Linked DNA regions of Rattus norvegicus. The protein of the gene in region 1 interacts with the protein of each later gene in a pairwise test. Links are inferred from orthologs where the notes say so. Each region holds a gene or a part of one and is shown on either strand. Other genes may lie near its edges.

Region 1 (3,816 bases):
TATTACCAATCTTGTTCTGCATTTCACACACTTTTAGGTTATTCTAAAACGTCTCAAAAAAATCATCTCAATACCCTGATAGTACTTATCAAAAGAAGCAGTCAAATCCTGATCTTGGACATGTGTAAAGGGAAGCTCGATGAAATCACATGAGACCCAGGATAGGGAAGAAGGGTGTTTTAACCAGGTTTCTACTGCTGTGATAACACCATGGCTAATAGCAAATTGTGGAGGAAAGGGTTTATTTGGCTTACAGGTTACAGTCCATAATTGGGGAAATCCAAGACAGGGACTTGGAGGCAGAGAGTGAAGCAGAGGCCATGGAGGAATGTTGATTATGGCCTTGTGCCCCATGGCTTTGTCAGTCCGCATTGTTTTTTATGCAACCCAGGATGACCAGTTGTGGTCCTCCCCTCCCACATCAATCATTAATCAAGACAATCCCACAGGCTTACCTACAGACCAATCTGATGGAGGCGTTTTCTCACTTGAGCTCCCCCTTCCTAGATAACTAGCTTGTGACAGGTTGGGGAAAAAGACAGGGGAGCTTATCTATCTAGGTAATGCCTAATCAGTCACCACCATGAATTTCAGACAAGTCCACTGACCACAATTCTGATAAAATGACAATATTTAAGCAGTCCCATGCCAGTTTCCTCATGGGATTCAACAAATGGAAGTGATTGCTGTAGTAATTTTGCCTCTCAGAAAAGGAAAGTAGAACACTGTCCAACTGTAAGAGCTCTCCCTAGTATGCAGATGCTTTGCCCTCCCCATCTGTAAGTTCAAAGCCTCACCTGAGCCAAAGCTCTGTGTCTGTTGCCAGCCCTCAGCTGAACTGGAATGATTCCTTTATGCTGGGATGCAAGTACTGTGATTTTGTTTGCCTTTAAATTATAATATTCATTCTTCATCATTTTCTCTTAAGAGGTAACATAGATCGCTAATGGTTAAGGCCAGCACACTGAGCCAGAGATGTAGTTCCTTGGCAGAGCACATGCACCACGGTTCTGTCTCCAACACTGACAAACAACAGCAGCAGTTACAAAAAAAACTGGCTACTGTATGAAGCTCCTGGCACCAGGCAGCTCCCATATGGTCATTCAATCAGGCAACTTCCACTTTTGCCACTGCCTCCAGTTCCCACTTCCCTTCCCAGCTCCGAGCTCTGAGTGTTTTTCTCATTTCTGACCTTAGACATAACCCTTTCTCCAGGAGCCTTCTGGTCTTTCCCTCAAACATCCATAGCCATTATCAAAGAGACGTGAAAAATGTGTAATTCTTTTTGTTTACTTTTACTCAGTTTTACCACACGAATTAGTCGTCCCATCTCTAAAACAGAGAGCTTCACTGAGTACAGTATACAAGTGAAACTAGCTATTTTATGATGATAGTAATATTTTTCCTTAGATATTGAAATACCCCGGTCAGAATATCCAATTAATGATTTTAATAGCCTCACAATTAATATTGCCCCAGTTTTGTTTTAGGGCTTGTGCGTATGTTTCTTTCTTCCTTTAGGAATTTTTACCCTGTCTAGGAATTCCCTTGCCTTAGTGTCTCAGGTGCTAAGATTATACTGGTGCATACCACACTCAACACCTGATCCTAACGTTGGAAGACAGTAGTTTTCAAATGTTTCTTTAGCTGGGAATGATGGCAGAGACCTGTAACGTCGTCACTTAAGAGGCTAGGGTAGAAGCAACTGGAGGTTCAAGGTCTACCTTGGCTACACAGTGAGTTCTAGTCCATCCTGTGCTTAAGGAAACCTTGTCTCCAAAAAAGAATCGTCCTTTAATTTTTTTCACTTCAAATTTATTTCAGTACTTTATCAGTATATTCTGGCCTTTTTAGCTGAGAATCAAAAACTAGAAATCAGAATCATGAGCAGACCTTTCAAATATTGAAAATATTACAATATATCGATATCAACAGAAAAATTCCTGATATAAATAATAAGGAACAAAACCACAAAGCATTGCATGTGTCTTCTTCCTTGGGAAAACAGGTCTGTTAATCTGTGTTCTTTGCCCTGAGAATATTACACTGAAATAGTATAATACTAAGTGTTGACTTCTTGAAGGTAACCATAGAGCTTTCCTTCTTTCCTTCTCAGATGAATCCAAGGCAGTGGAGCCATATCTCTGAAAGTGCCAAAGACCTAGTGCGCCGCATGCTGATGCTGGATCCTGCTGAAAGGATCACTGTTTATGAAGCACTGAATCACCCATGGCTTAAGGTACCGTTGCTCCCAGGTCACCAGCCACACTGGCCTTAAAGGATTCTCCAAGAGGGACCTGTCACTTTTCTCAGCCTTGCCATCAGTTTTGTCCATTGTGTTTGCTGTCTTCCACCTTCTCTGGGACGTGTATGGTATTGGACTGAACACAAAATCAAATTAAGGCAGGCTGTTGTCCAGCAACACATGTACCAAAGACGGAAAGGAGCATCTAAAGTAACCATTTCATCTTACATTATCTTTATGTCACATATGACTATATACTTTGTAGGATTTCACCGGGTTCCAATAGGCACTAAGTGTAGACTTACAATTTTAAGGGAGAGACACATTCAGAAGTTTTTTAAATATCAGAAAATAGTATTGTTTCATTAAAGCATTGTGCTGTAATTCCAGGAAATTCTTGCTTCATAACATCCTCAAGAGATGTTCAGAATTTTGCTGTGAGTCACAAAACTTGTTATTGTTGGAGCCAAGATTTCAGTTCACCCTACTGCTACCTATTATTAATGCTATATATCTGTCCCTTTCACTGACTAGATGACATTGCTCCAGCCACTTCCCTCTTTCCTACATTCTCAGTTTTCTGGATCTTTTGGATTTAACATGTGATTGTTTTTATTGCTTGCATTCACATTCACGCATGAACATCTGCCTTCTCTTGACCCTACAAATTCTTCCAGCTTCTGCCCCCATTCTTTGGTCCTCTCAATTGCAAAACTAAAAAGAATTATCTTGTACCCATTTCTCCAGTCTTTCCCAACCCTATCTCTTGAGCTCATATGTTGTCAGGATCTCAATCATACCAATCCCACTAAAACAATTCTTATTAGCTATGGGTATGCCTCAGTACAGTCCTTGCCTAGCATGTGCAAGACCCTGAGTTTCAACCCAGAACCTCCAAAACTCAAAAGAAAAACAACTCTTGCCTAGTCACTGCTGACCTTCACATTGCTAAGTCTAATGATCAAATTCCAAAGTCACAATTTCTTGATCTGTTGACAGCATTTGACATCCATCTCCTGAAACTTTCTTTCCCTGGCTCCCATGATACCTACCCTCTGTTTCCCTTCTGCTAGTCTGGCTGCTTCTTCTCCAGTCCTACAGATTTTGTGTCGCCTCCTTACACCACATCACATGGATATGCCACTGACTGGTCTCCATCCCAGCTCACTCTATACTTGTTGGAAACCTCATTGAGTTTGACTGCCTTTAAGTATCTGTACATGATGAGTCCTAAATCTAGGCCTCTCTCCTGAAGTATTCTTCCTTAACCCACTGTCTAACTGGGTTTCCTGATAGATTGCTGGTTTAATCCTTAGTCTCCTTTGCCTCAGTTTCTTTTATTCTGGCCTCCTTGCTGATCCTTGGACAACAGGTACATCATTACCTCAACACTCCTGCAGTAATTATACTGTCTCCCTAGAACATTCTTCCTCTAGGCCACTTTGTGGTTTATTCCCTCACATCAGATCCATATTTAACTACCAGCTTCTTGGTAAAATCTTCCCTGGTGACTATTATATCATGATGCTTCCTCAGAGTTTATGCAAGACACTAAGATATGTAAAAATATC
Region 2 (4,346 bases), on another chromosome or scaffold:
GGTGACAGGGTAGCCAGGATACCCTGGCCCAGGTACCTTTGGAAGCCAGGATCCTCCGGGCACTGAGGATAATGAAGCCCGAAAGACAATCCTTTCCCCTGGTCCTCCTTAGAAGAGGAACAAAGATTTTTCACAACCTACAAATCTCAACTCTGTTTCCTTTCGAAATCAACCAGTATTTGCTTCTGGAAAGGTGAATTCCAGAAAAAAGTCAGATAGGAGGCAAAGAGAACAACTTTATGGGTTAAATATAATTTGGGGAGGCAGAATTGTGATATTTGAAGTCTTCATTGATCGAAATAAATTCTACCGTGTTTCTTTGCTGCTGTAAACTAAAGAAGGGTGTGTGTTACAGAGAGAGAGAGAGAGAGAGAGAGAGAGAGAGAGAGAGAGAGAGAAAGAGAGAGAGAGAGAGAGAGAGAGAGAGAGAGAGAGAGAGAGAGAGAGAGACTGACCTGCCCATTGTTGTTTGATGCTCCCTTGTTGTTGGTAAGTTTTAATTTTCCAAACGAGATTTCTTGCCGCATCCAGTGAGCCCCAGTGTTGGGGGAATCCGGATGCATATAGACCCGGTTTCCTTAATAAAGAAATAGCTTGTTTACATATGCTGCTCTGGGCACTGCCCAGTCCCAACTCCTTAATACACGAAACACTCACACACACACACACACACACACACACACACACACACACACACACACATACACACACACACACACCTCACTTCACAATGAAACCCATTACCTGTTTTTTTTTTTGGAGGGGGGCATACTTTCTTCTCTTAACTGGAGATTATTAAAATAGCTTTACTGTCCAGTCCCAACTCTGTACCACATATCACACACACACACACACACACACACACACACACACACACACACACACACCTTCACAGAGAGGACCATTAGCTGGGCTTCTTTTTTTTTTTTTTTTTTAAGCCGCGATTTCTTCCCATTAACTGGGAATGATTAAAATAGCTTTTGCATAATCCTCCCCTTTCTTGCCGCTCAGTCTGTCCCCTGTCCCTCTCTTCTTTAGGAAGTCATTGGCCGACCGTTTTAAAAAGTCGCTCGAGCCAGTCCACAAAAGGCTTTAATTAATCATTCTCACCTAAATAAGTGTCAAGAAAACGTGTTAATTGGAAGGACTTGCCTTGCACATTGGTGTCCGCTTTGCCACAAGGAACCCATTTGCCTCCTTGAAACCTCCAGTGATTGGGATCCGCCAAAATCACATCCACAAAAATATTGTAATGAGCGGTGGGATCGAGACCAGAAATGTTAAAACTCAAAAAGGGAAACATGCGCCTGTTTGAATTAAAAAGAGAGAGAAAGCAAGGGGGAAAAAAAGAAAATAAATGTTAAAGATTAAATGCTGCAAGAAGCGGGGCGCCAGAAAGCTAAGCAAAACTTGTCCTCGCCGCGTGTCTGAACGAATGTTTGCTGATCTAGAAAGGGAGAGTGGGAGAAGGGAAGATGTAGGACCGAAGTCGGGGAGAGCACCGAGCGCTCTGGAGTTGGGGGACGGATTGCTCGGTAGAGAGCCGGGTTGGCGGCCTGCTTCTCCACCTGTCGGCACAGGCCAGCTTCGATGAGTTGCTCTGAAAGCCTGTTAGCGGCCACGGCTCTTCGTCTTGCTCCAGCCACCGACTGGTTCTCCGACCGCATTGGCACAGCAGGCTCCCCGCCACCAAACATCACCACGGTGGTTATTATCCCTTCCACTTTCCCCTTTTCCAAAACCAGCCAACTCCAGGGCGCACCCGAGCGCCTTTCCACTCCGCTCCCCGACCCCACATAGTCGCTGCCCGGCGGTCACAACTTGGGTGCGTTCGCCCAGGGTCACGCCTGGAACAGCGGCAGCCAAGAAAAGTAGCATTACCTTCCCTGTTTAGTGATGATCATCTCCGTTTGATGCCGATGAAATTTCAGCCAAAGTGGCCTGTTGCACAGGTATACCTGCGCCTTGCCGGGCACCAACCCGGGCTGGGTGGAGGAGAACTGGTAGAATGGGGCTCCTTGGTAGGAGTGGCCGTACTGCTGTGGGTAGGGGTAGCCGGCGGTGGGGTAGCCCTGCGGCGAAGAGTTGGACAGCAGGCTGTTGTAAGCTCCGTTGGTGATGACCGGGTGGTGGGCCATGTAGCGACTGGGGCTGCCGATGGAGAAGGCGGGATGCGCCGGTCCGTGCTGGCCGGGGTACGGGAACATGGCACTGGGAGCGGTGGCCGCAGACTGTGGCTGGCTGGACTGAGAGAGGAGGTAACGATCTGCAGCAGAGCCATCGAAACTGTGACGAAGCTCAGAGACCCCGTCCAAGACAGGAGAGAGTTTACTTCTCTGGACGTCCCCTGGTGAGTCCTTGGAGTCAGGAAAATTGTCTGTATCTGACTGATTCGTCATCCCCCTGGTAATTTTTTTCAAAGGTGAACTTCTCTCCAGGTTGTCAGTGGTCGAGATAATGGGATGATCATGCAAGACAAGCTCAGATCCGCCCGAATGTGGGTAGCTGCTGCTCACATTGAGAAATTTCTTGGAGAGCATGATAGAAGGAGAGAGGCAATGCTCCAGCTGCATAGCTCTAGAACCTGAAGGCTGGCCCTCCCGTCCCTGGGTTTTAAAGTCCTGTTTATCATAAACTAGGAATCCACAGACCCCTCACTAGACAGAAAGCACTTCAACCAGCAAATGCTTCTCAAAGGTTTGATTTACTTTTTTTTTTCCCTGGGAGAAGAGATTGGCCAATTGACACTATGCAGCAATCAGAAAAGGCTCACTTTTGATCTTGCTGCTTATGCAGCCGATGAAACGGCTCCTGCCATTGGTTAGCTGCTGACAGTAATTTAATTAGATAGACATTAATTAGGATAATCACCTGGCTCCTGGTCGCGACGATCATGGCAAATTGAAGGGGATGATTTTATTGTTGGCTTGGGGGGTGGGGAAAGTGTGTTGGTTTACGTGAGCTCTGTTATGTCACCTTTAAGCTTTGTGACCACTGCTTTAGGAAGATTCAAAGATGTGCAATTTACTAAACATTTCCTAACCCCCCCCCCCTTCTCTCTTTAGAGAGGAGGGGTGGAGGAGGGAATTCGATGATGCTAGGAGACTTTTCGGATCTGAATGAGCCAAATATTCAGTTGAATGTAACGATTTCAAGTGCAAAGTATACAAAGCGCGAGCCGGTGGCCTCTTCTCGCCCTGTAAAACTTCCAGAGTCTGTCTTTTCCAGTTAATACGCAGAAGCATACACACCTGAGCCTGTGCTTTGTTGAGTCGGTGCTGCGTGTCCTTGACGCCCCCTCCCCCACTTTAAACTACACGAATAAATAAATAAATCAACAAACCTCCAGCCGCTGAAAGCCACAGCCTTAAGAGAGATAAGGAGGCGAAGCGGCTAGCCCACCCATCAACCCACCTCAGGAAGGTTCGGTTTCCGGCTAGGGTACAGAAACAGTGACAATCTATGATCTCCTTTTTAAGTTTTGAAATAATCATAAGCCGTGGCGCTGAAGTGCTTTAATGTATTTGCAGTCATGTTTACTGGGTCGTTACTAAATATTTTATCAGCCAACTTGGTTGCAGATCATCTGAAGAGCAGCTAGCTGGGGGCGGGCGCCATGTATCCTTTGAGTCCCACCGCACTTCCTCCTTTTTGGAGGCACTGGCTTGGTGACAGGTTCATAAGCCTCGCCAGGAAAAAAGAGAGAGGGCTGAGTCCCCAGCGCAAATGGGTTCGCTAGAAGCGTTGATCTGGGGAGACAGAGTGGAAGTGGTGTCAACGCGATGATCTTACTGGTGTGTGTGTGTGTGTGTGTGTGTGTGTGTGTGTGTGTGTGTGTGTGTGTGTGTGTAATGTTTACATAATCCAGAGGGAGAGAAAAAGAATCCATGCCAGTAATTTTTAAAAGAGGATTAGCGAAAAGAATCGATTTAAGGAAATTTTGGCACAAGTAACATGAGTCCCCAAGCAACTGAGTTTTAGGGAGAAAAGATCTCCTACTATCTGCTTCACGGAGGCCAGCGGCCAGCCTCAGGCCAAGAGCACCTGAGATGACAAACCCAGAGCTGCTGTCTAGACATGGCCAACCTGCTCCGTAGCTTTCCTTCCTGAAGGCAAGAGGCGCAGAAATGCAAAGCCAACCCCAGGCATAGCTCAGCTTGGCCTGCAAGGTGGTGGAGAGGCGGCGAGCTCGGGGGACTTAAGAGAGTGCCAGGCGACCTGTCTGGCTCAGGCTGGAGAGGCTCACACTCCACCCTTGCCTCAGGCAGGCGGGGCCTGGGAATCTATCTCCTCCAGCTGCTGCCTCTGCCTTTGAGATCGCAGACAGTAGCCCCGGCCAGAGCAGC

Evidence for each region.
Region 2: the proteins of Cask (region 1) and Tbr1 interact in a two-hybrid assay, tested with the Homo sapiens proteins (2 studies listed by BioGRID and IntAct). The link is inferred for Rattus norvegicus from reciprocal best matches to the Homo sapiens genes CASK and TBR1.

The regions. Positions count from the first base shown.
Region 1 is NC_086039.1:11,802,571-11,806,386, forward strand, and holds part of Cask (peripheral plasma membrane protein CASK), read left to right. Parts: intron 1-2,116; coding exon 2,117-2,239; intron 2,240-3,816. UniProt on the Homo sapiens protein: Multidomain scaffolding Mg(2+)-independent protein kinase that catalyzes the phosphotransfer from ATP to proteins such as NRXN1, and plays a role in synaptic transmembrane protein anchoring and ion channel trafficking.
Region 2 is NC_086021.1:66,758,285-66,762,630, reverse strand, and holds the start of Tbr1 (T-box brain protein 1), read right to left. Parts: upstream 2,829-4,346; 5' UTR 2,574-2,828; coding exon 1,882-2,573; intron 1,308-1,881; coding exon 1,153-1,307; intron 578-1,152; coding exon 456-577; intron 1-455. UniProt on the Homo sapiens protein: Transcriptional repressor involved in multiple aspects of cortical development, including neuronal migration, laminar and areal identity, and axonal projection.